7 linked regions of the Canis lupus familiaris genome follow. The protein of the gene in region 4 purifies or fractionates together with the protein of the main gene of each other region. This does not show direct contact. Links are inferred from orthologs where the notes say so. Each region holds a gene or a part of one and is shown on either strand. Other genes may lie near its edges.

Region 1 (3,899 bases), on a different chromosome or scaffold from region 4:
CAGATTAACATTGCATGTGCCAAATTACTTCACATTATGAAGATTTTAGAGACCTAGATCATTCACACATCAGGTCCAACCCTTATCATTTGACCTCTCTGAACCTTCTCAATTTTTCCTAACTATAAAAAGAACTTTCCAATGTCCTTTGCTAATCTGGAAATCAAAGATATTATCCTTCAGCAAATAAATTATCTGCTTTAATGATAACAAAAACAACACAAATATGTACAAAATTATTTGGTGCCAAGAGTAAAAAAATTGGAAAAATTAGTGTTTAGCAACAGGTGACTGGTTAAATAAATTTGCAGTATATCCACAGGGCAAGTATACAGATGTAAAAAAGCTATCTAAATGCTAATAGGAGGCAGCCCCCGTGGCTCAGCGGTTTAGCGCCGCCTTCAGCCCAGGATGTGTTCCTGGAGACCCAGGATGGAGGCCCACGTCGGGTTCCCTGCATGGAGCCTGCTGCTCTCTCTGCCTGTGTCTCTGCCTCTCTCTCTCTCTCCCTGTGTCTTCCATGAATAAATAAATAAAATCTCTAAAAAAATAATAATAAATAAATGCTAATAGGAAGAGGTCTTCAATATGTATGTAATATGTTATATTTTGTATTAGAAAAAGAGAGAATAAACATATATATTTCTTTTTGTTTGTATCTATGTTAAGAAATACTAAAAAGATAAATAAAACATGCTTACCTACAGTGAACAATGGGGAATATGGTGAATGGAGATGGCATGGAAGAATGACTTATCATCAAAATAAAAGTTTTTATATCATTCTAATTTTGGAACCATGTAAATGTTAAATATTAAATTAGTAATTTAAAAACCTGGATTTTACCTTTGCTACTTGAGGTCTTCCAAAACATGCAGCATAATGTAATGATGATGACCTTTGACCCCTATTAACATCAGCACCTCTTTCACAAAGAAATTCTACCTGTAAAATTATGAAGAATCATAAAGTTGCCTTATTAATAGTTCTATCTTTATTTAAAACATGAGCTTTTATATATTAGCTTACCATTTCCTGAGTTCCAAAAGCAGAGGCCCAGTTTAATAGAGTCTGACCCACATCATCCATAAAATTTACTTCAAAGGCTGGAAAAGTTTCAAGGAGAAAAATAAATTTTTAAAAATCTAACACAGTAATACTGAACTTTTCTACAATGGGAACCATTTAAAAATTATTATTAATAGTCACTAAATACAGAATCAATTTTAAACATTTGGATCAACTCTATAGTAGTTAATAGTCCACAAACAAATTCTGCTAAGAAAAGATATTCTAAAATTTTTAAACCACTGAGGATTCACAAGGCTTTAGGCCCTTAAAAATAAAGATAAAATAAGAAGAAAAAAAACCAAAAACCTAAATATATAACACAATTCAACAGGGTACTAGTTTCCTTTATTCATTTCATTTACTCTGTTAATAGGCATTTACTCAGGTCTTACCATGCACCAGGCCGATAATTATATACATGGGGAGAGGAAAGGGTGCAGAGGTGGTTGGTGGCCTTTCTATTATCTGGCCCAACTGCTAATAATACTGGTCTAAAATCTAGAAACTAGAAATTGCCTATATAATTCCTATCTGTTTTCTTTTTATATTTTAAAAAATATTTTCCAACCTCCTGTGTCAATTGCATCTATAAGTGCATCGGTATCTTTACTTCGAATACAGTCTATAAGCTGCCGATGTGAGCGCTCCCCAGAGCTATCCAATCTCCGAAGTCCTGGGATTCTGCCTGTAGATCCAGCACTAGACTTTGGCAAAGCTTTTCGTCCTTCAAATAATAGCACCAAGAGAAGGTCAACCAAACGCATGGTATCAAGCACACATCTTTCATCACCCTGCAATGCACTTTCAATTGAATCTGGAAGTTCTGACCTCAGGAGATCCTAGAAACGGAATGGGAGAACTGTTTAATATATTTACATTATGCAAAATACTTTTACTGAAAGATTAAAAATCACATATTCAAAAACATTCTTACATGTGTGACTACTGGAGAGCCTCTGCAAAGTGTTGAGAGCAGGCTTACAATTGTTGACACCTGGTTACTCAATTTGGAATCTGCAGCCGTGGAAGGTGCTCCTGCAGTGCTGCGACCAGGTTTACAAGCTGATGATGGCCCTGATACAGTACCACCAGCAGCAGCCATGCGAGATAACAGCTCCTCAGTTAATCCATGCTTGGCTAATGGAGCTGGGTCAACACCACGACGGGTAAATCGGTCAGCTAGTGATGCAAAGCACCGTAGGGCTCCATCTGAAACCTAATGATGTAAAGAATATGCATATAGATAAAATGTTCCTAAAAAGGGTACTGCTAATTTCATTACTGAGATTTAAGAATGCCAGCTATAGCAACGATATAAGGCATATAATCTGCCTAGATTTTAATCCTGGGTCCACATTCTGCCCAACTGTATGACCTCAGGTTATTACTTAACTGCTCAAGGCCTCAGTTCCCTTATCTGTAAAATGGAGATAAAAGTACCTATAATTCACTGTCCAACCTTAAATAAGATGACATACATAAAGAATCTAGATGGACAGTAAAAGCTCAATAAATATTAACTATTATTATGAACAATTCTGCCAAAATATCTATGAATATCAACCAAAAATAATTAACAAAATAGTAAAAAGGCATTTAAAAGTTTTATTTTCTAAAATCTAATTCAAAAAAAAACTTTACACATAAAAGATTTTAAATACTGTGTTATTTTACTTCAGTGAGAACTATCTCTTTAAGTCAGCAACTTGTGCTGAGTCAACAAATCACACTGAGCATAATGCAGCTTTAAAAATTATGTATTTCTGAAACATTTAAATTAAAAAAATAAACATATCACTTCTATAACTTAAAATGTCTCACTGCCAAAACAAAGATTACCATACAGAAATATGAAATGAGAAAAAAGAGAAAATGGAATTACCTCTAGTTCATCAAGTGAAAAGCTGAAATAACAGTGTATCAGAGTTATAAATAGGAGACACTATAAAATCACTTTTTGAATACAAAGTATATAACAGGGATTTATTTACCTGATGATCTTCATGTTTTAATAAACTAGACAGAGATTCCACACAAATTTCTAAAGAAGAATCTTGAGGTTCCATCTTGCCACAGAGTCTTGATACCACAGCCATGGCAGAGTGCAAGGTATCTTTATGAACCAAGTGTCCACTGTCACGAATGAAGGTAAGCACACAATTCAAACCACCAGCCTCAAACACTGCTCCTGATTCTCGAGTACATATCAGTTCTAACACCTACAACAGTAAATGAAAATTAATAAAAGAATGCAGTAAGTCCAATTTTAATTTTCTAGCATCACAGAAAGCACAACATGCTTTACAAATTTATTAGTAGTCACATTTTAAAAAGTAAAGCAAAACAAATTTATTTGAATATATTTAATTTAGCCAATGTATGTAAGGCATCATCATTTCAACATGTTATCAAAGTTAAAAAATGAGCTATTTTACTTTCTAAAAAGTTTTTACTTTAATTTATTTTAGAGAGGGGGAGAACACAAGCAGGGGAAAGGGCAGAGGGGGAGAGAGAGAAAATTCCAAGCCAACTCCTTGCTAAGTACGGAGCCTGACACAGAGATTGATCCTATGACCATGAGAGCACAACTTAAGGAGAAATCAAGAGTCCAATGCTCAACCACCTGGGCCACCTAGGTGCCCCAAATTCTTTTATGTATTAAGTCTTCAAAATCCCAAGTATATTTTATACTTACAGCATATCTTAATTTGGGGTAGCCACATTTGAAATATAAATATGGCTACCATATTAGACACTAGGTTCAGATGGTGAAGCCTGCATAGTAAGTTAAGCAACTAAAGTAACTTAGCAGAAGTTTATACAGGTCT
Region 2 (3,899 bases), on a different chromosome or scaffold from region 4:
ACTTTTAAGATTTGCTCTCAGCAACTTTTTTGTTTTAAGAGCACAGAGGGAGAGGGAGAAGCAGGCTCCCTGCTGAAGGACTGTTAAGAACTTTTAAGCAGGAAAAAGGAAGTTGTAAAACAGTACTTTTTGAGGAATCCTTTGTCATTGGTATTATTCCAACTTTGCTCAGGCACTTTGTGGGAATTCTCAACAAGACCTCTGGCCAGATGCAAGTGTATGATGCTGAATTGTTCAACATGCAGCCACTGTTTGCAGGTAGGACCCAGTCACGAAGGCTTGCAAGAACACTGCATGTTTTAGGTTTGCTGGATGAGTTTGGTTTTGATTTGTAAAACACATTTGTTATTTTTAAAAGGGTGCCTTCCTGCAAATATTTATTGATAACTTACTTTGCTCCAGGCACAAGTTAGTGGCTAGGGATGTAGCAGAACAGATACAGGTCCTGTCGCTGCTATGTTTACAGATTTGAGATCAGAAAATAATCAGTTAAAGCCATTTGAGCAGGGTTGCCTGGGTGGATCAGTTAAGCGTCTGCCTTTGGCTCAGGTCATGATCTCAGGGTCCTGCTCAGCAGGGAGTCTGCTTCTCCCTCTTTCTCTGTGCTTGTGGTCTCTCACTCTCAAATCAGTGAATAAAATCTTTAAAAGGTGGGGAGGGAGACTAAAAGGTGGTGAGGGGGACGCCTGGGTGGCTCAGCGTCTGCCTTCTGGGTGGCTCAGGGGCTGCCCTGGAGTAGAGGCTTTAGAGAAGATGGGAGTTACTTAGAGGTTAGACAGCCCTTTTCATGTTGATGAGAAGTCTCTCTATACTTTCTAATTAGGAGGAGATCCATTTTTTCCCCTAATTTAGTGAGAGAGCTTGTACTGCTTCTCTTCTTTGGCATTTTATGATGCTCAGGGCCAGAGTGTGGGATCTTCCAGAATGATAGGTCAGAGGGTCAGACTCAAGGGGCTCCTGTTCTCTAAATCTTAAATACTGAGAACCACAGTGAGGGAGGGTATAGTTGAGGAAGGATTGTTAGGGTCACAGTAGATCTGCCTGATGCCTTCCAAGGCAGTAGTTCTGGCTTTATTCCTGCAGAGCAGTGGTGCCAGTCCTTTCAAGAATCTGAAGGACCAGGGGATCCCTGGGTGGCTCAGCGGTTTAGAGCCTGCCTTTGGCCCAGGGCGCGATCCTGGAGTCCCGGGATCGAGTCCCATGTCGGGCTCCCAGCATGGAGCCTGCTTCTCCCTCTGCCTGTGTCTCTGCCTCTCTCTCTCTCTCTCTATGTCTATCATAAATAAATAAATAAATCTTAAAAAAAAAAGAAAGAATCTGAAGGACTGGACCTACTTTCCAGAAACATACGTAATACGTAAGAATATATATGAAATTTTGCATATAATTGTAAAGGGCTCTGAGTCCCATCTGCGACTCTCCTAGGGGTCCAGAGTCTGTAGGTTAAGGACTCCTTGCTTTGCGAACAAATACATCTACATTTAAATTATCCTCCAGGGCAGCCGGGGTGGCTCAGGGAGTTTAGCTGCTGCCTTCAGCCCAGGGCGTGATCCTGGACCCAGATCGAGTCCCACGGGCTTCCTGCAGGGAACCTGCTTCTCCCTCTGCCTCTGCCTCTGTCTCTGTCTCTGCCTCCCCCTCCCTCTCCCTCTCTCTCTCTGTTTCCCATGAATAAATAAATAAAATCTTTAAAATAAATAAATAATCCTCCAAGTGCTCTTCTGACTTCCAAGGAGGCAAAGGAAATTGTTCTCAAATTTTTGTTTTTACAGGTAAAAAATGTGTAAATACTAGTTTATTCTAGCCAACATATATATACACGTACACACACATGCAGCATTTATTGAGTCCTTAACTATTTGTCAGGCACTGTTCTAAGTACTTTTAATGCACGAGGATTGTCATAATTCATGTGACAACCCTCTGGTGGTTCTATCGATGACGAAACTGGTACAGAGTTTGACAGGGACATAATGTTGATGTGTGTGTGTGTGTGTGTATATATATATATACACACACCTTTATATATAATTATAATGTGTATATATAAAAATATAAATTTCCTTTATCCGTCTTTATCTATCTATATGACCTGGGATTGAAACTCAGACAAGGCCACTCTAGAGCTTATACTCCTACCCTCTAGATTATACTGCCCTTATATGAATACTTTATGGGAGATAAGAGAGCTTCATGTAAGTAACACATACCTTACATTTATGCTTGCTTATCTTTTATAAGGCGGGCAAAACTATTTACTGCAAAGAGCCGAGGACTTGGTTTCTAATCCCATCTCGGCCACTGCCTGGTGAACTGACTTAGGACAAATCATTTCGTTGGGAGGCTTTTTCCTTATTTGTAAAATGAAGAGGTTGGACCAGATGACCCCTTCATTTGACTCCTTAATTTCTTCTCCATATCCTCCAACTGTATACTAAAGCGACAGACTAAATATTCATAGGATCCATCATGTTAAACTCTGGGAAGTCCTACAGTAAAGAAATCTGTCTGTCTTAGATTAACAGTGAATAAATATTAAATGCTATTATAATCTGGGCCTTACAGCTTCCTTTTTTCCTATTTTTGTTTTGTGTCTTGATAGATGAATCACTTGAGAGCGACTTGACACAAGAGAGTCAGGCCAAAACTTTTAGAGAAAAGGTAAGAATGACAGAAGTGAGACATGGGACCTGCCTCACGTTCCTTCTGTGCCTTGTGCTTCTCCATCAGGAAAATGAGCTGACTGAGCACAGGGCTGCTCCCAGCTCATTCTGTCTGTGGTTCTCCAGTCAGCCTGCCTGTGGAGGCTTCTCAGCTTCACAGAGCGCCGTCCTCCCGCCTGGGGCAGCTATACTCAGCTCCATCCCAGTGTTTGGAACTGATTCTCTGGGCTGACATAGGTGTAGTGTAACACTTGTTTTTGGATTGAATGCAAGTTTCAGAAAATTCTGGCTGTAGCCTGGAAGCTTTCACATTAAAACAGAGTAAACTTCAGGATTTTCAGCGTAGGTGGTTCCTATAAAGCTAATCTCACTCCAGGATTGCAAATTGATTGAGTCTTCAGTGCTGCCTGGAGCACTGTATTGAGAAGGTGTGAGGCTGTCTTCAGGCTCAGTGGGAAAGAGTGAGTGATTAGCAACATCTGCTATGGGTGTAAGGCTGGAAAATGGTAAGTTATGTGCCAGATTTACCAATCCTCATTCTGATCCAGGCTTTTCACTGTACAAATGGAGACACTGTTGATTTGTAAAGAGCCCATGACAGTTTCCAAAGCAAGTACTTCAGGGATCCCTGGGTGGCGTAGCGGTTTGGTGCCTGCCTTTGGCCCAGGGCGCGATCCTGGAGATCCGGGATCGAGTCCCACGTCGGGCTCCCGGTGCATGGAGCCTGCTTCTCCCTCTGCCTGTGTCTCTGCCTCTCTCTCTCACTGTGTGCCTATCATAAATAAATAAAAATTAAAAAAAAAAATTAGCCAAAGCAGGTACTTCAGATCTGCTAATACACCAGCCTGTGAGATAGAGAGGTATGATTTAGCCTGATTTATAGGTGAGGTAATCCTGGCCTAGAAAGGCTGAGTTTCCGCATGGTCACACAGCTAGGAGTAGTAGTGCCCAGACTGTCCCTACACAAACCAAATTTGTCTATGCACAGATGGATTCTTGCATTGAAGCCTTTGGAACCACCAAACAGAAGCGGGCTTTGAACTCCAGAAGAATGAACACAGTTGGCAGTGAATCTCTGAACTGTGCAGTAGCTAAAGCTGCAGAGAATATTATTGATGCGAAGGGTGTAACTGGTAAGCAGCTGGGACTTGGAGTAAGAGTCTGCTCATTGAGACAGCTTCCTTGTCTCTTGAGATCTCTTACCTGCTCCACAGATGGAAATAAGGGTGTGTTAGG
Region 3 (4,464 bases), on a different chromosome or scaffold from region 4:
AGATGCGGAGAGTGTCAGAGAACACCTCTAAAAAGTCTTTTTAGGCAAAACCTGGATGATGAGAAAGACTTAGCCAGGGGACCTGGGCCAAGGAGGAGCCTCCCAGGCAGAAAGCAAGGACGGGTGCATGCAAGGATGCCAAGTTGTTCTGTTCAGCTGACACATGGAGTGTGCATGGCAGGCAGTATGCCATGATAAGGAGTCTAGCATTTACTGAAGGCAAGAGGGACCCTGATGGTGGTTTTTAGTTAGGAGAGTAGTAAGACTAGATTTGTACCAAAAAAGTAGTGTGAAGCAATGTGAAGAAGTAGATGATGAGGGATATGACAGGTAGAGAAAATTCATCATTCCTTTCTTCCTTCATCCAATAAGGATTTGTTGCACTAAGATTTGTTGCAAGACTGCTCTGGACCAGACATTGTTCTAGAAGGTGAGGTGAGTGTAATGAACAAAATCCCTGCCCTTCCAGACAGGTTCCCTGTAGGGAGCCTGATGTGGGACTCGATCCCAAGACCCCAGGATCACCCGAGCCGAAGGAGATGCTCAACCACTGAGCCACCCATGTGCCCCTCAAAGGTTTGTTTATTAAGGACAACTCCAAAGAGTACAGTATTAATTCTCTTCCCATCTGTGATATAGAGCCAGACACAATGACTCCCAACTATCCACAATGAAAAGCATAAGAGAAATGCTTCCCTTCCATGTATACATCAGACTCCAGTCCTTCATCTATCTATTGGGAAAGAATCCTATCAATCCTTCCATTTCTCCTCTACACCATCAACTTTTCACTCTACTGGATCATTCCTATCTGTATTATAACACATGCTATTATTTCTTCCAAACTGAAAAGAGTTTCTTGACTCTGCTTTACCTGTCAGCTTTTTGTTACTCTCTGCAGCAAAACCCTTAAGTGTTCACTAGAATATTGACCATGTCCAGATTCTCTCCTAAACTCATCCCAATCAGGCCTTCACTCTCACTGTGTCATCAAAACTACTCTCCTTGAGGTCACAAGTACATTGTGTGTTGCTATGTCAACTCTGCATCTTCCTGCTTCTTGACCTATCACAGCATTTGATAGAGCTGCTCACTCTCACGTCCTTAATACACTTTCTTCATTGAGCTTCCAGGAGACCATCCTCTCTTGGTTTCCCCATCTCTCACGGCAGGTCCTCCTCATCTTTCCAAACTTTAATGATGGTCTTTCTATTCTCTATCCACATTCCAGTGCACTCTCATCCATACGCTGACAACTCCAAGATTTATACCTCTAGCCCAGACCTTGTTCCTGAACTTCTATGCAACTACCTTCTCAATGTCTCCACTTGGAAGTCCAATAAACGTGTCAAACTTACATCCAAATGGACTTTCTAATGTCCAAATCCCTTTCGAACTTGGTCCTCTTACAGCTTTCTCCATCCCAGTTGATATATATCTTTCAGTTGTTCAAGCCAAAAAATCCCAAGTCTTCTCATTCTCTTACATACCACATCTAATGTCAGCAAAGGATGACAGAACTGACCACATGTTACTACTTCCACTGCTACAACCCCGATCCATGTCAGCATCACCTCTCAGGTTATCATTCTCCACTGGTTATCAACTGGGGGTGATTTGACTCCCTAGGGGGCATTTGATGAGGTCCGGAGACAGTTTGACATTGATTAGGTGGGAGTTGCTACTGACATCTAGTGGGCAGAGGCCAGGAATGCTGCTACCATCAGACCATGTATAGGACAGCCCCTACAGTAAAAATGTCAATAGTATGGAAGTTGAGAAAAACTGCTGTATTCCTTCCTAACAGTCCTCCTTGTTTCTTTCCTTACCCTTGATGTTTACTCTCAGTGTGGCAGCTAGAGTGATCCTCTTAAAATGTAAGACAGATCTTACCTGCTTAAAACCATCCAAAAGTCAAGGGCCTCACAACAAAGCCCCAACAAGAAGCAATGGGGTCGACAATCCCACTCTCCATGCTCTGACTTCCCCTCCCACAATTTGCCCCCTTGCTCACTCCATTTTAGCTTTTGCTACACAATTCTTGAAGGACTTTGCTCTAGCAGATTCCCTCTGCCTGGAACGCTCTTCCCTCAGTAATCACTAGCCTTTGTCCATCATCTTGTTCAAAGCACTTATTCAACTTTCATCTTCATAATGGAGCTTACTAAGACCACCCTATTTAATACTGTATCCTGCAAGTTGGCCTCCCCTCCTCTTCCTTAATCTGCTCAAGTTTTTCCTTCTGTTCATAGCATTCATCACTTTGAAATAGAGTTATGTAACTTATATTTCCTGGCTCCCCACAGAATGGCAGCTTCTCATAGAATGGCATCTGTAGGGACGACAGGGATTTGTCTTGTTTGTTGCTGCATCCCAAGTATCTACCACTGTGCCTGGTACACAGTAGGTGCTCAGTAAATATGAGAAGGCTTCTACTGTTTTTCACGGTCACATCATACTCATCTGCTCTTTAGCTGTCGGGATACAAACAATATCTCTTCAGTCTGAAACCTGCTTTGGGTAAATCTGAATGTGAAATACTAGCAAACAGAGGATCCAGGCAGGAGCATTTCTCTGGCACCAAAAGTCAATACACTCTGGCTGTCACACATCTCTCTCGACTGGAGAGGGGAGGCTGCTGATGGTTGTGAAGTGCAGTAGGGCCACCGATAAGAGAAGAAACTAAGTCCCAGGGGCAGAGATCTCTGTAAAACCTGACGAAGGAGAGAGAATGAGGAATCCTTCAGTTCAGATTACCGCATTCCCTCTATCCCCTTCCCGCCCTCCGAAGCGACAGCAACCGGAGAGAACAGGAAAGATCATCAGCGCGGATTTGGCCTCAGGCACCACTTCCCCGAGGGAGACGGAATCTCAGAACTCCTCTCAATCACACACTGCAATCGCTGGCAGGAATGGAGAGGTGGGTACAGAGTCAGATAAGCCCGAGAATTCGAAATCGAAAAATCCTGGAGACATCAATCAGAGCGGGGAGGGCTGGCAGACGTGCACCCCGACGCCCCGGGGCTGCTCCCAGCCCTCTCCCTCCCGCCTGTCCCCTGCGCGAGGACGCACGGGCCTCTGCTCTCCACGAGGCAGGACCGAGGCCGGCCGGGGGCCGGGGGCTCGCCAGCGTCGCGGGCAGGAGACCCCTCGCGGCCCTACTCACCTGCGGCTCCATGGCCAGCACCGGCCCACACGCGCCAGGGGCGCCCGCCGGAAGAGGACAGGGCGCCGGGGCTTCCGGGACCCGCGTTCTCTCTCCGGCTTGCGACACAAGCCACGCGTGTGCGGGGCTCCGGGGCTCCCGACCGACGCCACACCCGCCACTTTTGAATTCCAACCGTCGCCACCCTTCTCACCTCCCTCCGCACGCAAGGGCCAATCGTCGCCGTCGCCACGGCCGAGACCAATCGCAGCGCCCCCTGCCTCTGGAGGCCACACCCCGCCAGGCCGGCACCTTCCCCTTCCTGCTTCGCCGGCGCGCGGGAGGCAGGAGGTTAGTCACACTTCCGGCTGCCCTCCCACCTCTCTCGCCCACCCCGCCTCCAGCCGGGGTCGGGCTGCACTTCCGCTCGGCTCCCGGCTGCAGCACGTCACGTCAGAGCATTCCCGGACGGCGCCGCGCGAACTCAGCGGGGTGGGGGCGGGGACGCTGGGAGAAAGGAATCACGCGAGAGCACACGGGACTCGCTTAGGGGGAGGGACGCGACGGGGCAGCCCCCGCCCCCAGCGAGTGCGGCGGGGAGCACCCCCGTTACCCCCGGCCGCGTCTGTGCGATTAGGGTTCGTGACTCGGCGCCTCGCCGCGGAGGCGAGGTCCCTAAAGCTCCCGGGAAGTGGGAGCAGGAGCCCGCCGGTGGCGTGAGAGTGGCCGCGTCTACCCCCTCCCCAGTCATTTTGGCATTTCCCCCCAAACCTAGGGACTTGAGGTGCAGCTTGGCGCTCCTGGAAGCCCGACAGTGGGGATTCGAGGCTCAGAGGGGTTTTCCCTGCAGTCCCCCTCGGCACCCCATGTCCTCGGTACCTGGGCGCCGGTACCGGTGCTGGAGCTGCCTTAGGGCTCCGGAGCCTCCATCCCACGGACGGCAGACTGCTTACATTTAGGAAGTTTCTATGCTTCTCAGGCTGTCTGCACGTGCATTATCTCTTAATAATCGCTAAATTCATTGAGCTCTTACTACGGTCGAGTGTTTTGCATCCCTTCTCTGCAAGCTGGACAAAGGTAGGCTTAGAAAGGTTAGGTATCCAAGCACAAGGTCACACTCATGATCGGGAGTGGATCTAGATTCCAGCAGCTTCAAAATCCAAGCTATATGTTACCCCACACAACCTCTAACAATCTTAGTGTCAAAGACATCAAACCCTTCACCTGCGAGGAATTTGCAGTGATTGTACTGCATTTATTCGTCGGAGTTTCCAACCAACCTGGAGGTGGGACAGGGATTTTATTGATGAGACTGAAAG
Region 4 (4,553 bases):
TATAACTGGCTTAAACAACAAAGGAAGTGTGTCAGGTGACATAATTGCAAAGTTATGTAATTGCAACCTTCTGAGGTAGGGCAAGCTGTTGATCAGAGCTTTCATGGTTTCTCTACAATTGTCCTATTCAAATTTCTAGGACTCACATCCCCCAGTTCAGAAGAACAGAGCCTGCTTTCCTATCACCAGTCATTAAACAAAAGGCATAGGCTTCCCGACTGAATGAATTTAGGTCATATGCCTGCGTCTGAACCATTCACAGTAGCCAAGAGAATCCCTTGCAGTGACTGGTTTAGGGGTGAATTCCTTCCACATTTTGCACTTAGGGGGATGGGATCATACTGATTGAATTGGGAGGCGTAGAATCAACTGCTAATGAAGCGCATGGCTGCTACACAATGAATGAGGCTGGCAAAAATGCCTGCAAGAATGGATAAAGTTCAATGTTTGAATTTCTTTATAGTAAAATAAATAAGCCAATACAACATTTCTAAAAATGCCCTTTTTAGAATGCAGAAAAATTGCACAAACAAAAAGGTCTTTAATTCTGATGCTCTGTAACCATTTGTGATGCAAGAAAATGCAAATATTTTATTCAGAGAAGTGTAAAATACAGCATAGAACATATTGGAACAATTGTCAGAACTTGAACACACTACATAATACATGATAGCATCAAAATTCAGTTGTGTTGGGATCCCTCACTGGCTCAGTTGGTAGAGCATGCCACTCTTGATCTTGGGTCATGAGTTTGAGCCTCATGATGGGTGTAGAGATTACTTAAAAAAAAAATCCTAAAACAAAACCAAAAAAAGTTCATTTGTCCTGAATTTGATAACTGTGGTGTAGTCATATAAAAGAATGTTACTAGAAGATACAAAATGAAGTATTTAGTGGTTAAGGGACATAATTTCTGAAATGCTTACAATTGGCTCAGAAATGTATACGTGGCTTTTACATATTACTTTTACTCACATATGTGTGTGTGTGCATGTGTACATAGAGAAATAGCAAATGTGGCAAAATGTTAATATTTGGCCAATCTGGGAATGGATTTGCAATTCTTCTGTATTTGAATTTATTTATTTATTTATTTATTTATTTATTTATTTATTTATTTATTTATTTATTGTATTTGAAATTATTTAAAAGTAAAAGACTGGAGAAATAGGCTTAAGAAACCTTCTGTTTCCATGTTTGTGGCTTCTATGCAGTCTTTTCTAACTCACGTTAAAAAAATAAAAACTAAAAAATGCAGCCCAAACCTGCCTTATCCTTTCCCTCCATAGTGGCCAGAAACCCCTGCCAAGTTCCTACTGTGTCCCATCAAGGAAAAACCTCATAGCAATATGTTTCTATATCAAATTTTTTTTCTTTTTTTACCCACCTCCTCTCTTTCAAGAATTTTAAAGAGCATTATTTTGGAAATCAGTTGTGGTGTTTGGGTTAAAGCAGCTGCCCAGGCAAACGACCTGGGAGCAACCTCACTAGCATGAACCCCCCGCAGAGCCCCTAGATTGAGGCCAAAGTCCAGCGCACTGGCCCGCTGCACGCCGGGATCTGGAGTCTTTCTTCATCCACCTGCAAAGCGCTCTGGGATTGCCTGGCCTCTCCCATATCTCGCGATGCTCTCTTCTCTCCTTCTTAGCCCCATGACCCCCCCAAATCAACGTGTTTTTCAAATCCGCCAATGGGAGCGCAGCGTAGGCTCGAACCAGCCAATCGGAATGCGGGGACACCGGGAAATTTAAATCGCGCCGGCCGGCAGCACGAGCCACACCGTCTCTGGGCTGATCCGCGGTGGACGTTTTGAGGGCAGCTGACCCGCGGCCTGCGCGCCCCGCACCGCCTCCCGTGGAAGCCTGAGCCGGCCGTGGAGGTACGACTGAGGCCAGGGCCCGGCCCGAGCGGCAGCGGCAGGCTGGCAGGCCGCGCCCCGCTTGTGGTGGCGGGAGGGGAGGCCCGGATTCCACGCCCGACCTGGCTGTGGCCTCCGTCGTTGACGAGGCCTGGGGGCGTCGTTCGTTGAGGAGGCGGCCGTGTCGCGGTGCGATTGCTTGGGTTTGGGGGCCGCTGAGGCTCTGCGGACCGCGGCGGGAGCTGCGGCGCGTCGCGGCCCAGAAGATCGCCGAGGCCCGGGCGGCGCTGTCCCCTCTGGCCCCGCCTCCGCCCGTTCCCCGCTGCATCTTCCCGGGTGGGGGGCAGGGGAAGGGCTTGGAGACGGGGCGGGGGGGCGGTGGCAGTTGGAAGAACCGTCTCTTAACACGTAGGCCCAGGCCCGGCTGTGACACAGCGTCGGCAGGGAACATCACGGAATGGAAGACCGCACATTGCCAGGAGGACTTGTACTTTTGTCCTCCCTTGGCGATCGCTCTGAAAGAGCTCTGTTTGAAGGAAGCGGGGTTAGTAGCCGCCTAACTGAGAGCGTTTCTTGGGAATGAAAATGTTTGCCGGGTGCTGAGGATGCAGAATTGGGTCTCGAGGTCTCGGTGTTGACACGCAGGGTTATGGAAGCCTCCGTAACGCGATGATGTGCCACATACTCCTTTAACTTTCAAGTGTGGAGAATGGACCTGTTTGGGCCATTGGGAGAGCCTCCGGAATATGGATTTGTGGCCCGTTAGGACGTCGGTTTTAACTGTGAGCTCAGTTTGCCCCACTCTGTGTTCAGTTGGTCCCAGCTGCACCGTCCAGTGTGGTGTGTGAGTCCTCAAACCGATGTGGCTAGCCCGGATTGAGCTGTGCTGTAAGCCCCAAGTACGCACATGATCTCCGAGTATTAGTATGAAAAGTGTAAAATCTATCTAGCTCGAAATAGGAGAACATGTGGAAAGGAGAGTATAGCGGACGTGTTGGGCCGGAGGGAATAGATTTGAAATTCATTTCTCCCGTTTCTTTTTGCGTTTTTGAAAAAATGTAGTTACCAGGAATTTTCAATTTATGCAGCTTGCTTTCTCTTTCTGATGGACAGCACTGTTCCAGGAAGTCTCAGCCTTTCGGAGAGGAGGGGACTAATACTGTTGGGCCAGTTCAGTATTTCATAGTGCTGAAAAAGGAAGTTAGTCCTCTACTATACAAGTGTGGGTCCAGTATATGCTTGGTAATTCTATTAATGCTCTTCTTATTGACAAAGCAAAATGATAAATGGGAAATTTCTTTCTCTTCCTCCATCTTACAGCTTTCTTCCTTTGTCTCATAACCATGTCCACCAACGAGAATGCTAATTCACCAGCTGCCCGCCTTAACAGATTCAAGAACAAGGGGAAAGACAGTACGGTGAGTATCTTCTGTTGCTTTCCTGTGCTATTTTTTAAATGGAAAGATATTTGGGAAGTGATCAGAACTTTGAGGAAATTTGAAATAAATATTCTCACTTAGCCACAAAAATTGATATAGTGGGTGAAGTGGTTTATCTTCTTCCAAGGAAATGAGGCGGCGCCGAATAGAAGTTAATGTGGAGCTGAGGAAAGCGAAGAAGGATGACCAGATGCTGAAAAGGAGAAATGTAAGCTCATTTCCTGATGACGCTACCTCTCCACTGCAGGAAAACCGCAACAACCAGGTAAATATATATTTTAGATTGTGAATTCTGGCAAACCCACAAAATCAATATGGTGCTTTTCTTAGAAATTTAAGCAAGGAGTCCCTGGGTGGCTCAGTCGCTTAGGCATCTGACTCTTTATTTCATATTTCACCTCAGGTCTTGATCTCAGCATTGTGAGATTGAGCCCCACATTGGGCTCCACACTGGGCACGGAGCCTACTTAAAGAAAGAAAGGAAGAAACTTAAATAATGTTCCTAGCCTAATGGTTTTAATTGTCAACTCTGTTAATGATCTTTTTTTTTTTTTTTTTCTCCCAGTCAGTAATTCTGTTGGGTTGTCTTCTTTCCTGGTCTCCGTAATGTACTGAAACAGATTCTGAAGTCTCCTTTAGCTCTGAACTCCCTTCAGATTTCCCTGCATTTCTAGCCACCAGTTCAGGACCTTGACTGGCCATTCCTGTGTTAACAGAAAGTTCGTGTGTCTAGAACTAGTCACTTTCTGGCTTCTTTGGATGTTCCCTATTTTTTGTATTTGTCACCAGCTTTGTTCAGATCTTTTCCCTCCTGAACTATTTTAGATGGTCTTCTAATTTATCTTTCCCTTCATTCTGTGCCACATACTATTTACCTAAACATAGTCTTAAAAATACTGCTTTAGACCTGTTCTTTCTCTGTTAAAAATTTTGGTAGTTTTAAATCCATATTCTTTGAAGTTTTTTTTTTTTAATTAGATCAATCTTAGGTTTTCAGATTTATCTTTTTGTATCTTTCAAAGATACTGAGAACCTTTAGTAGTTCAAAAAATTGTTTTTCACTGAATAGTTAATACCTATGTGTTATTTCTAGAGTACTATATTCAAATCCCATCTTCTTACAGCACTCCTTGGTCAGCCTAGCAGGAAAAATGTCTCCTTTTTAGAATTCCCATAGCATCCCAGATGTGCACTAAAAATGGAGAGTAAATGCTAACACAATATAAATATTCACCATTTGTTTTATGGTTGTCTGT
Region 5 (3,899 bases), on a different chromosome or scaffold from region 4:
AATAAATTCTGATCTCATATGTTCTACATTTCCATGACAACTGGCTCAGGAACCCAACAATTATGTTAGGCATTTATAAGGATCCAGAATTAGGCTGCAAAGTTTGGATGTAGGGAAAGATCTAGGAAAAGCAGCTTCTTTTGGGGAGATGTCATTTATATGTCCAATAAATGTGAAGGCTGCCTTTAGGTGGGGACTTCAGACCGAAAGGTCTGAGACTGATGCATCTATAATTGTGTTAAAAAAAAAAAACAAAACATGAGCATGTTTTGCTATTTGTATTAAATTTCTCTAAGTACAGGCTCAGCAGTTTAGGGCCTGCCTTCGGCCCAGGACATGGTCCTGAAGTCCCAGAATCGAGTCCCATATCAGTCCCATATCAGAAGTAGGGAGCCTACTTCTCCCTTTGTTTCTGCCTCTCTCCCCCTCTCTCTCCCTCTCTCGTCTCTCATGAATAAATAAAATCCTTAAAAATAAACAAATAAATAAATTCACTTATTTATTTCTCTAAGTAATTAGATTAGTACAAATAAACTGTAAAATGACTAATGCTCAGTCAAAACAATCTTTTAAAAAATTCAAATTCAAAATGAGCAGATTTTGGGGAGAAAGTTTTATTTCCAATTCTAATTGTTTTATGTTCAAGAAATAAAAACTTATGCATTTGATTGATTAAAGAAAAAAATGAGAAAGATTGCATTTTTATAAATTATTCATGAATATGCATTAAGAAAAGGAATTTTATTCACCTGTAAGAGGTGGGATATCACGATTAACTGTTTCTTCTGCTTCTTCTAAACCATTATTTATCGATGGCCTCACTTGAACTGCTTGATTTGAGTAAGCCGCTCCATTAGTTGACGTAGTAGTACTGGTAGTGATCTCATCCACCTGTTCCATATCAAGTTGTTTTACTATTTCTTCAGCTTCCACAGCCTGTCCTGGGGAATCGGATCCTGATGTTCCTATAATCAAGATTCAGGGTATTGACAACCATCATATAAAAACTCAAAAGGGGGTAGGGAATAGGATAGATATTTTTAAGGGTACAGACTTATAGCAAACAAACATAAGCCCTACAGACCTAATACACTGTAGAGTGAATATAAACAATATTGTATTATAATCAACAAACTTGCTAAGAGACTAGAGCTTAATTGTTCTAACCACTAAAAAGGATAATTATGTAATGTGATAGAGGTGCTAACTATTGTTACACGGCAATCATATTATAATATACAAATGTATCAAATTAACTTGTTAACCTTATATATATATTTTAAGATTTTATTTGTTTATTCATGAGGGACACAGAGAGAGGCAGAGACACAGGCAGAGGGAGAAGCAGGAGCCATGCAGGGAACCCAATGTGGGACTCAATCCCAGGTGTCCAGGATCATGCCCTGGGCTGATGGTAGCGCTAAACCGCTGAGCCACCGGGGCTGCCCAACTTGTTTACCTTAAATTTACATAAATGTATGTCAGATATATTTTAATAAAAGTGAAATACTGAAAAATAAACTCAAAAAACAGAAAAAAAAAGGGGGGGCGGGGGACACCTGGGTGGCTCAGAGGTTGAGCATCTGCCTTTGGCTCAGGGCATGATCCTGGAGTCCGGAGATCAAGTCCCACATCGGGCTCCCTGCATGGAGCCTGCTTCTCCCTCTGCCTGTGTCTCTGCCTTTCTCTCTCTTTCTCTGTGTCTCTCATGAATAAATAAATAAAATATTTTTTAAAAATGAAAACTAAACTAAAAAATTTGGAAAAACCAAATGCAACAGAAATAGAGCTGAGGATACTACTGTTTAGTGTTTTTTTTTTTCTATACATCTCAAATAATCAGGAATAAAGACTATTATAAGGTAAAGTGATACTGATGAACAAAATTTTAAGAGTGTTCGAATAGTTTAGCAACACCTATTTAGAGCTTTTATAACTTAGAACTTTAAAAAAAAATTTTTTTTAAAGATTTTATTTATTTATTCATGATAAACATAGGGAGGGGAGGGGGGGCAGAGACACAGGCAGAGGGAGAAGCAGGCCCCATGCCAGGAGTTGACACAGGACTTGATCCCGGGACTCCAGGATCACGCCCTGGGCCAAAGGCAGGTGCCAAACTGCTGAGCCACCCAGGGATCCCCAGAACTTTAAAAATTTTTTTATTGAGGGATGGCTCAGTGGTTGAGCATCTGCCTTGAACTCAGGTCATGATCCCAGGGTCCTGGGATTGAAACCCACATCAGGGTCCCCACAGGGAGCCTGCTTCTCCTCTGCCTATGTCTCTGCCTCTCTCTCATGAATAGATTTTAAAAATTAAAAAAAAATTTATGGAGATATAACAGACATATAACTGTTTAAGTTTCACGCTTATTCACGTGTTGATTTAATACATTTATATATATACTGCATTATGACTACTAACCTAGCATTAGCTAACACCTCTATCCTGCCGCATCATTATCATTATTTTTGTGGTGAGAAAATCTAAGATCTAGTCTCTTTGCAACTTTGAAGTATACAATACAGTATTGTTGACCATAGAACTTCTTTTCAATATAGCAAATATCTTTTATTAAGTGCCTACTATGAGCTAGGCATTTTATATGTATTTTTTTCCATTATCATTTCCATTAAACAGATCCTTATCCTTCCATACTAAGCATCCTAGCCACTGTAGGCAGTTGTAATTTTAAAATCAGAGGTAGTTATGCAAGAATGAGCTAAATGTTCCCCTAACCATCAGAATATTTTAATTCAGAGACACAACAATTTCCCAACAATATTCCATCTTAGTAACAAAGACTGAAGTTAGTTTCCTAATCATACTCGCCTACCACCTAGATGAACCTGTTGCCCTATTCTTCCACTACTAGATAAACCCAACTCTTTTCTTTCTTTATGGAATTCTCCAAATGTCTTTTTTTTTCTTTTTAATTTGATATATTTATTCATGAGAGACACAGCGAGAGGCAGAGATGCACGCAGAGGGAGAAGCAGGCTCCATGCAGGGAGCTTAACGCGAGACTCCAGGATCATGCCCTGGGCTGAAGGTGGCACTAAACTGCTGAGCCACCTGGGCTGCCCCCAAATGTCATTTTCAACAACAAAATCAACCTCCTAAACTCTCAACTTTCTCACAGAATGTTCTTTCTCCATCATAGCTTTAAATGTAACTCCCTTCCAAAAAACCTCTTTTCCTGACATCTTTCCTGCAAAGCTCTTTATTCTTCCATACTCAACATACTAACTGAATCAGAATTCATTTATCTCCATTTCTGCTACCAGATCATTGGTTTTTCCACTGAATATGCAAAAAAATACCTGTTCCTGAGACTGATGTCATCTAGCTATATAATTCTTCACTTATCCCACTGCTGCCATCTACTAACTGCTGCCAGCATCCTCTCTCAATTAGAAGAATTGAACACCTCACCAGCAGTCTATTAAACACCTCCTAGTTATTATAGTAATGTCAATGACTCATCCTAAGACTAATCCTCAAAAGTCTTGCCTTCTCTAGCTCTATCTTCATTCATAACTGCTCTCTTAAGTAACTACAATGACCATAACCTGGATATTCACACTAAGAAAAGTTTCATCTCTGAAGACAAAAGTTCAAATATATCAATCCCCTACCATAACTTCCTCATCTTTTAATTATCGATCTCATATTCCTATTACATGTGATTTCATGTTTGATAAAACCCAATCTCTTTCATTCTAAACAATCCTTCAACAGCTCCTTCCCCAACCTTCTCAACTAGTTAGACTTCATGGTATATCACAAATCACTCTCAAACCAGTAGTTTCAGGGTCCTTGCTCCCTTGTCTTTCCACTGTCAACCATCACAGAAATCTCTCTTGAATCAATGTAACTTACAGGCTTACTGGGATTTCTT
Region 6 (3,899 bases), on a different chromosome or scaffold from region 4:
CCAGTCCCTCCTTTAAAAGATTAAGCAGCCCGGGTGGCTCAGTGGTTTAGTGCCACCATCGGCCCAGGGCATATGATCCTGGAGTCCCGGGATTGAGTCCCATGTCGGGCTGCCTGCATGGAGCCTGCTTCTCCCTCTGCCTGTGTGTCTGCCTCTCTCCCATGAATAAATAAAATCTTTAAAAAGTAAAGTAAAAAGTAAATGAAATAAAAATAAAAATAAAAAAATAAAATAAAAAATAATAAAAAATAAAATAAAATAATAAAATAATATAAAATAAAATACAATATTAACTGTTCCAAAGTTTTGTTCCTGCCACTCCCCATAAGCTAACAGAATGGTTTCGTTCCTGCCAGTTCCCGTAAGCTAACAGAGTTCAGTTTTAGGCCAGTCCCTCACTTCACATCCATCTCTGCTCCCATCTCTTATTTGAAAACTAGAGCCTAATGACTCCCAAATTTGTATTTCCAGCCCCGAACATGCATGTGTAATGTATCTAAAGGCTTTGCATTTATGTGCCAACTTCACACCTTCAAATCAACCATGTATTATTCTACATCCTGATTTGACTCCCTTAGTATCTCCATTGCCATGATCTTTGCCCACATGTACTCCTGATACATCCTCATCTGCCCTCTGGTCTCCAAATTTTGTTGCCTTCAAATCTATCCTCCAAAAACCCACGAAGCAATTTGTCAAACATACAAATTTAACTGGATCACTCCTCTGCTTATAATGATGGTTCATCATTTACAAGACTGAAGCTTGACTGCTTGAATAAATTTTTGAGCTTCCTTTATTTGTGGAAGGAATTTACTTTCTAACTCAGTTTTATTCTCCCAATCAACTCAGAATTAATTTTGGTTTCTTCCACAAGCAAAGGCTTGCTTTTTTATTTACTTATTTTTTTAGGTGAGGAGGAGGAATGCCACATAGAAAAAGAAAGTTATTTCAGAATGAAGATTCTGAAATCTTATTCTTGTGGACATGTCCAGTAAGAATTAGAAATAAGGCTCACCTCTTGTGTTCACACATAGGGTATACAGGTTAACAAATCAACTTTCCATTGCAGACATAAAAACTACATATCCATGAATAATGCAATAAAAAAATAAGTATAATTCCGATGATATTCTTAACACTTTTTACTTAGTACCTATGTTACCATATATCTATACCAAATAATTATATATTATAAAAACAGCAGAGTCCTTTCCAGTTGTGAATTTCCAATAACTTTTTCAAATTAGAACAGAGAAACAAAAAACTCAAATCTAACTCCATGTTTTTTACTGCCAAGTTAGATTCAGTAATTTACTATCATTGCAACATCTTGGCAGAGACCACACAGGTATAGGTATCACCATTAACATTCAACAACAGTCTTTTCACAAAGCAGTATTGTCTACTCCCTGGTGAAACCTTCTCTGGAATGACCACTTGCCGTCCTCACTTCAAAACAGAGATAAAGTGGTGTTTGTTTTGGGAACAACTGTTCCTTTTAAGATCTTTCAGCTTCTGTATTAGTCAACTTTGAAAATGATAACCAAGAACAAGTAGTTTCTGACAAAAATGTATGTAAAAAAAGAGGTACAAGTATATATTGGGCTGGCTAATGCACCACCTAAGATAACACACAGATCCAGCCTCAGGCAAGTCACTTGACCTCAAGATAGCTGAGGCAAATGAAGATGTATGAGGAAATGCTCATCCTTACACATTACAAACATTAAGGTGGTTCTTAGCAGACAATACATTTAAATGTCCTACCAAAATAATGAGCAAACTTTTCCCAAAGAGCCATACACGTACCTGGTTTCTCAGACACACAGGACACACATTTACTGTCTTCTCCATTATTAAAAACACAGCATACTGGACACTCCCAAGATCCCACAGGCCTTTTAAACTGATCTGCAAACCCTAAGGCAGCAGTGGTCACAGTGCAGGTGGCCGATGAAGCAGCCGCAGTCACGGCGCTCTCTGAGGCTGCAGGCAACGTAAGGACTCGCTTAACACCAGTCCCAGGCTTCGGTGTTTCACAGGCCACGCATTTTATCGCTTCGGGTTTATTCTGCACTAGGCACGTATCACAATCCCAAGTGCCTACTGCTGGTTTAAATTTGTCTCCAAAACCTGTCCCTGATGCAGAAAGAGTTGATTTGTCACTTTTACTTGGTGTTCCAATTCCAGTTTGTTTATTAGCATTATCTTTTGGCGGCAATTTTGTTGCTTGGCAGGCTACGCACTTGCTGTCTGTAACTTTGTTCTGGAGTAGACAAGTATCGCACTGCCACGATGATCCAGCTTTTAAACTTTCCCCAAACCCGATGCCACTAGAAGAAAAGCTACTTATTGCTGGTCTTGTATAAACAACTGGGCTTGTGGTAGTAGGCTGAGCAGCAAGAGAATCTGCCTTTGGTGATATGAAACCTATAAGGAGGGAAAGAGGAGAGTGTAAGGAAAAAAAAAAGTTAAGGAAGCTTCCTAATCAGAACATGATCTGAAATGTTATTATTGGGAGAACATATATTTATACACATTTATACAGTTACTAAAATTCAACATGGACTACTTAAAAATAGAGTTTTTACCTAAGCAATATTTAATAATCATGTAATTAATAAGTGACACTTAGGCCTCATTAAAATTCTTTAAAAGATGTTTTGTTTACAGTTTATCACCTTCTTCCTTTAGGAATTTCTACTTACTATAATTTAACCAATATCTAATTTGAGGCTTTAATTTGTAGTATTTTACTGACACGTACCACTGTCATCCATGTTTTGCAACACTCTGCCTCGCTACACGAATATACAGTACATTCATAGCCTTCCTCCCTCATCTATTTTTTTCTTTCAGGTGTTCCTGGCTATGCCAAATGTCTTCAACATCTATAGTATTTGAATTTTGTCCAGTTATAATCCACAATTGTGGTATCCTCTACTTTCAGTAAAAATCAGCAGAGATGCATAGGTACACATATTAGACAGATGTCCCTCCAAAGTACAATGCAATGGTAGGGATTGGTTTTAATTATACTAAGCTTATATAGAACTTTAAAATGGTAATGGTTCAATGAGAATTATAATGACAAATTCCAACAGAGATGAACCAAACCATCTGGCAAGCCCTAGAAATACAGAAATGATGAAGACGCAGTCTACTCGGGTAGAGCATGAATTCATGCTACTCAGAAACATGCCCATGGAATGTTAACCAAACCCTACTTCAAACAAACTGTCTCAAACAGTTCTCCTTTAACATTGTAAGTATACATTTTTGTAACCACTATGTACTTAGACAATTAAGGTTATTCACACAGAACCACGGAACAAGAGGAGTTGAAAAAACGTCTTCATGCTACCGAAACTGCTGTCATTGAATTGGGTTGATTCACTCCAACTTTATTCTTGAGAATGACCTTCCTTCCAATTCTTTACTTTGGACCAATTATATATACCAACAAACTCAGTGACCTGTTTGTCCAGCTTTTAACACCAAAGGAAAAAAAATTGGAGGGTAAGATAGAACAGAAGACTATAAAGAGATTTTCTAGTGCTACAATTAACTCAATCTTGAGCTAGTTTTAGCCAAAAGGCAAAACACGCACATACTTCAATACTCCCAGTGGTCTAAAATGTACTATCTTGTTAATGATTGATCTGCATCACTAAGGTTAGCACAATTGTAACAGTAACTATCTCAAGTAACTATCCTTTCCTTCACCTTTCTCAGGTTTTCCTAATTTCCCTCAAAAGACAGGACTCCTCCAAATTCTTGCTATTTAAGGAAAACTGAAAGGGGGAAGGGCACCATGAATGCAGAGTATGACTTATACAGAGATCAACCGTAGGAATGCAAGGCCTCTCTACTACTCAGTTAATTCTAGCCCAGGC
Region 7 (3,899 bases), on a different chromosome or scaffold from region 4:
TACCAAGACCCAGGGATCACAACCCCAGCCAAAGGCAGACGCTCAATCTCTGAGCCACCAGGTGCCCCTTGACATGTGATTCTCAATAGCTTATCCAAATGGAGGGAGGGAAGAAGCACAGAGATCCTTAGCCAGCTCTTAGTAAATTATTAGACAAAAATTGGCAACAAAAATGAGCTATGACTTCAGATCTTTTCTTTCTTTCTTTTGCGTCCTATCTAGGTAAAAAAAGCCCTCTGTGTGCTTATCCAACATAACCTGGTGATATATCAAGTGCACAAACGTGGTGTAGTGGAGTATGAAGCCCAGTGCAGCCGCGTATTGCGAATGCTTAGGTATCCCCGGTACATCTATACTGCCAAAACACTGTACAGTGACACCGGAGAACTCATTGTTGAGGAGCTGCTATTGAATGGCAAAATGACAATGTCAGCTGTTGTGAAGAAAGTGGCAGACCGGCTCACAGAGACTATGGAGGGTTAGTACTGTACTCATAGCTGTTAGCAAAAGCGTAGATTGGCTGGCTGCAGGACTGGAACTTCAGCTAACTTAGGCAATCTCATCTGCCACTTTCATCCTGTTGTACAGATGGCAAGACCATGGACTATGCTGAGGTATCAAACACATTTGTGCGACTAGCAGACACACACTTTGTACAGCGTTGCCCCTGGGTGCCTGCCACTGAGAATTCAGACCCAGGGCCACTGCCACCTGCCCCCATTCTTGTGATCAGTGAAAAGGACATGTACCTGGTTCCAAAACTGAGCTTGATCGGTAAGGAATTTTGACCCCTGAAACTATGATTTGCCCTGGTTGTGGATTCTTCTTCAAAGATTGTTAAATTAGTGAATGAATCGATCAAGCAGTTACCAAATATTTACTCTATGCCAGATACTGTGGTGTAAAATGAAAAAACAAGTCCCTGACCTTTTGGGGCTTAAGACTAATATAAAAAAGACTTGAGTTACATTACTCAAATAATCAGATAGATGTATAACTAAGAAACTGATTAGTACTATGAATGAAAAGTATGAGATGTTATGAAAATATGTAACAGGGAACCAAATTTTTCAGGATTTAGAGCACACGCTTCTCTGAGAAAGTAGCAGTTGAGCTAAGATTTGAAACAGAAGCAGGAACTAACCAGTGAGGTAATGTATGAAGGAGTACAGAGGATAAATATTTTTACAAAAGGAATAGTGTACAATGAGAAAAAAATAGGATATTTGAGGAAGTAAAAGATGGGTCAGTGTAATTAAGGCATGGTGAGCAAAGAGAGCCATGAGATGAGGATAGAAAGATAGGGGCTAGATCATACAAGACGTTATACAGACAGCATCTGTTCTTTATCCTAAGAGCAAAGGAAAACTACTAAAGGATTTAAAGGAAGTGACATGATCTAATTTGCATTTTTAAAAGATTTTCCTGCTTGTAGATAGGATAGGGCAAAGGTAAAATGTAGACAAACCCAGTGAAAAATTAGATACAGAAAGGGTAAAGGAGACAGAAGTACTAAATGACATTTGTGTGTCTGACTTGCATGTGGGGGGAGGATGAATGGTCCTACTCACTGAAAGGAAGCGTTTGGAACAGGAACAGTTTGAGGTAGAAAGATTAGAACTTTCTTTTTTGAATATGTTGAGCTTCAAATGACTTCATCATTACTTCGAATTTCTTGGAGCTCCTCAGCCTCCCCAGCCACTTTAACCTAGAGGCAGCTGGAGATGTCTTGGGATAGAGGGAAACCTGCTCTCAGATTCAGTGATTTCCTGTCTTCATATGAGATGTAGCATAACTGTTTGCCTGTTTTATTTATCAGGGAAAGGTAAAAGGAGAAGATCATCTGATGAAGATGCTGCTGGGGAGCCCAAGGCCAAGAGACCAAAACACAACACAGATAACAAAGAGGTAATGGGGCTTAGGGGTCCTCACCCTAAGGCAAGGCAGAAAGATAACAAAGGTAACAGGCCCCAAGAGATTTACAAGGTCCTTGATTGAGAAGTAGTAGGATTAGGGATCCCTGGGTAGCACAGCGGTTTAGCACCTGCCTTTGGCCCACGGCGTGATCCTGGAGACCCGGGATCCAATCCCACGTCGGGCTCCGGGTGCATGGAGCCTGCTTTTCCCTCTGCCTATGTCTCTGCCTCTCTCTCTCTTTCTCTCTCTCTCTCTCTCTGTGTGTGACTATCATAAATAAATAAATAAACATTTAAAAAAAAAGATTTATAAAAAAAAAAAAGTAGTAGGATTAGTAGGATTATGAACTTCATTCAATATTGACCAAGAATGAACTAACAAAGTGTAAACTCCATTACTTTCTCCTTTCTGAGGCTTCATCATTAAACAGAGGTCAGATCTTATGCCAAAAAAGGGCCTTCTGTTTTCTCTCTGAAATAAGAGGCAAGGTCATGTGCTGAGAGTGGGAAGAGAGGGGTAAATAGAAAATTTAAGGATACTGGAGAAGAGTTCAGATAGAGAAAGATTAGGTAAATTCAGAGGTGAGTTTAAGGGATGCCTGGGTGGCTCAGTGGTTGAGCGGCTGCCTTTGGCTCAGGGCATGATTCTGGAGTTCTGGGATTGAGTCCTGCATCAGGCTCCCTGCATGGAGCCTGCTTCTCCCTCTGTCTACGTCTCTGCCTCTCTCTCTGTGTCTCTCATGAATGAATGAATGAATGAATGAATGAATGAATAAATAAATAGAGGTGAGTTTAGAGAATCTGAATTGGGTATTGTAAATTTGTGTCATCAAGGCCCTGATCCACATGATTGAATGATTTTTTTTTTTCCACCCCACGTGGTTGCTACTGAATAGGAAAAAAAATAGTGAACAGTTAAATCCAAGCTCCTCGCCAGAAAACTCTTCCCCATATTCACGGTATCTAAATGTTTCTCTCTAATCCTTTTCTCCTCCTCAGCCCATTCCAGATGATGGGATTTATTGGCAGGCCAACCTTGACAGATTCCATCAGCACTTCCGTGACCAAGCCATTGTCAGTGCAGTTGCCAACAGGATGGACCAGGTGGTATCTAAGTGGGTGGGACGGTGTCCCAAATCAGGAGCATTCACTTATTTGCCAGATGTAGCCATTGGCATATAGCCAGAGTCAGCACAGTGGAGTGAATTCTGAATTGTAGTTCACTTTTCAAACCCAGACCAGCAGTGAGATCGTGCGGACTATGCTTCGGATGAGTGAGATTACTACTCCCTCTACTGCCCCCTTCACCCAGCCGTTGTCTTCCAATGAGGTGATCTTCATGTTCTTGTACTACTTTTCTAACAGACTGCGGATGTGATGATTCTTATACACAGAGCCTGGGATTAGGTTGAGATCTGAGCCTTTGAAAGAGTTTTTATTGTTTGAGGTGGGACAGGGATTCTCTTCAAGTGTTAGGTACTGAAATATTGGTCTCTGGGGATCCATCCTTAAAAAACCTAAACCATTCTCCTAGCCAAAGTACAGCTATTCCCAGTTGTTCTAAGAATCCACTATCTGGAATCTGAGAACCTTTGTTGGTACTCAGAACATCATTTGGCTTCTTGTATTGCTTTTGTTCAGTATACTAGTTTTATGTATCTTAAATTTGTTTTTAGTATATCTGTTTCTTAAAATATAAATATTTAATGTACCAAATACATTTTATTTATATTCTATTTCATAATTATATTTATCCATATTATAGTTATATTTTCAGTTCATATTATTTTTAAAATTTTAAACTTATAACAAAAATTTCAGGTTTTTTTTCTTTCAATACAGTAATTATGTGACTTCTATTCAAACAATAGAAATGTATAATTTTTTCAAGTTGTAGCCCCCTATATTTTTAGAAATGGCGTTCAAGTTCTATATCTTATTGTGGGTGGTAGTTACAGGGATATACATAATTGTCAACACTCA

The links.
Region 1: the proteins of KPNA2 (region 4) and HECTD1 purify together in Homo sapiens (affinity purification with mass spectrometry; 3 studies listed by BioGRID, with this or other methods). This does not show direct contact. The link is inferred for Canis lupus familiaris from reciprocal best matches to the Homo sapiens genes KPNA2 and HECTD1.
Region 2: the proteins of KPNA2 (region 4) and POLR1E purify together in Homo sapiens (affinity purification with mass spectrometry; 3 studies listed by BioGRID and IntAct, with this or other methods). This does not show direct contact. The link is inferred for Canis lupus familiaris from reciprocal best matches to the Homo sapiens genes KPNA2 and POLR1E.
Region 3: the proteins of KPNA2 (region 4) and KIFC1 purify together in Homo sapiens (co-immunoprecipitation; 4 studies listed by BioGRID and IntAct, with this or other methods). This does not show direct contact. The link is inferred for Canis lupus familiaris from reciprocal best matches to the Homo sapiens genes KPNA2 and KIFC1.
Region 5: the proteins of KPNA2 (region 4) and CTDSPL2 purify together in Homo sapiens (affinity purification with mass spectrometry; 4 studies listed by BioGRID and IntAct, with this or other methods). This does not show direct contact. The link is inferred for Canis lupus familiaris from reciprocal best matches to the Homo sapiens genes KPNA2 and CTDSPL2.
Region 6: the proteins of KPNA2 (region 4) and NUP153 purify together in Homo sapiens (co-immunoprecipitation; 4 studies listed by BioGRID and IntAct, counting the BioPlex papers as one, with this or other methods). This does not show direct contact. The link is inferred for Canis lupus familiaris from reciprocal best matches to the Homo sapiens genes KPNA2 and NUP153.
Region 7: the proteins of KPNA2 (region 4) and POLR3C purify together in Homo sapiens (co-immunoprecipitation; 3 studies listed by BioGRID and IntAct, with this or other methods). This does not show direct contact. The link is inferred for Canis lupus familiaris from reciprocal best matches to the Homo sapiens genes KPNA2 and POLR3C.

What each region holds. Positions count from the first base shown.
Region 1 is NC_049229.1:10,607,374-10,611,272, forward strand, and holds part of HECTD1 (E3 ubiquitin-protein ligase HECTD1), read right to left. Parts: intron 3,291-3,899; coding exon 3,063-3,290; intron 2,288-3,062; coding exon 2,006-2,287; intron 1,911-2,005; coding exon 1,640-1,910; intron 1,107-1,639; coding exon 1,030-1,106; intron 946-1,029; coding exon 847-945; intron 1-846. UniProt on the Homo sapiens protein: E3 ubiquitin-protein ligase which accepts ubiquitin from an E2 ubiquitin-conjugating enzyme in the form of a thioester and then directly transfers the ubiquitin to targeted substrates.
Region 2 is NC_049232.1:54,129,725-54,133,623, forward strand, and holds part of POLR1E (DNA-directed RNA polymerase I subunit RPA49), read left to right. Parts: intron 1-172; coding exon 173-258; intron 259-2,602; coding exon 2,603-2,661; intron 2,662-3,651; coding exon 3,652-3,796; intron 3,797-3,899. UniProt on the Homo sapiens protein: Component of RNA polymerase I (Pol I), a DNA-dependent RNA polymerase which synthesizes ribosomal RNA precursors using the four ribonucleoside triphosphates as substrates.
Region 3 is NC_049233.1:2,985,426-2,989,889, reverse strand, and holds the start of KIFC1 (kinesin-like protein KIFC1), read right to left. Parts: upstream 2,839-4,464; 5' UTR 2,824-2,838; coding exon 2,758-2,823; intron 2,715-2,757; exon of another isoform or gene 2,460-2,714; intron 2,413-2,459; exon of another isoform or gene 1,894-2,412; intron 1,251-1,893; exon of another isoform or gene 875-1,250; intron 1-874. UniProt on the Homo sapiens protein: Minus end-directed microtubule-dependent motor required for bipolar spindle formation. May contribute to movement of early endocytic vesicles. Regulates cilium formation and structure.
Region 4 is NC_049230.1:14,367,687-14,372,239, forward strand, and holds the start of KPNA2 (importin subunit alpha-1), read left to right. Parts: upstream 1-1,721; 5' UTR 1,722-1,879; intron 1,880-2,266; exon of another isoform or gene 2,267-2,402; intron 2,403-3,178; 5' UTR 3,179-3,201; coding exon 3,202-3,276; intron 3,277-3,424; coding exon 3,425-3,562; intron 3,563-4,553.
Region 5 is NC_049251.1:11,450,614-11,454,512, reverse strand, and holds part of CTDSPL2 (CTD small phosphatase-like protein 2), read right to left. Parts: intron 966-3,899; coding exon 750-965; intron 1-749. UniProt on the Homo sapiens protein: Probable phosphatase.
Region 6 is NC_049256.1:17,841,909-17,845,807, forward strand, and holds part of NUP153 (nuclear pore complex protein Nup153), read right to left. Parts: intron 2,434-3,899; coding exon 1,813-2,433; intron 1-1,812. UniProt on the Homo sapiens protein: Component of the nuclear pore complex (NPC), a complex required for the trafficking across the nuclear envelope. Functions as a scaffolding element in the nuclear phase of the NPC essential for normal nucleocytoplasmic transport of proteins and mRNAs.
Region 7 is NC_049238.1:59,294,288-59,298,186, forward strand, and holds part of POLR3C (DNA-directed RNA polymerase III subunit RPC3), read left to right. Parts: intron 1-222; coding exon 223-478; intron 479-588; coding exon 589-774; intron 775-1,819; coding exon 1,820-1,908; intron 1,909-2,915; coding exon 2,916-3,020; intron 3,021-3,153; coding exon 3,154-3,246; intron 3,247-3,899. UniProt on the Homo sapiens protein: DNA-dependent RNA polymerase catalyzes the transcription of DNA into RNA using the four ribonucleoside triphosphates as substrates.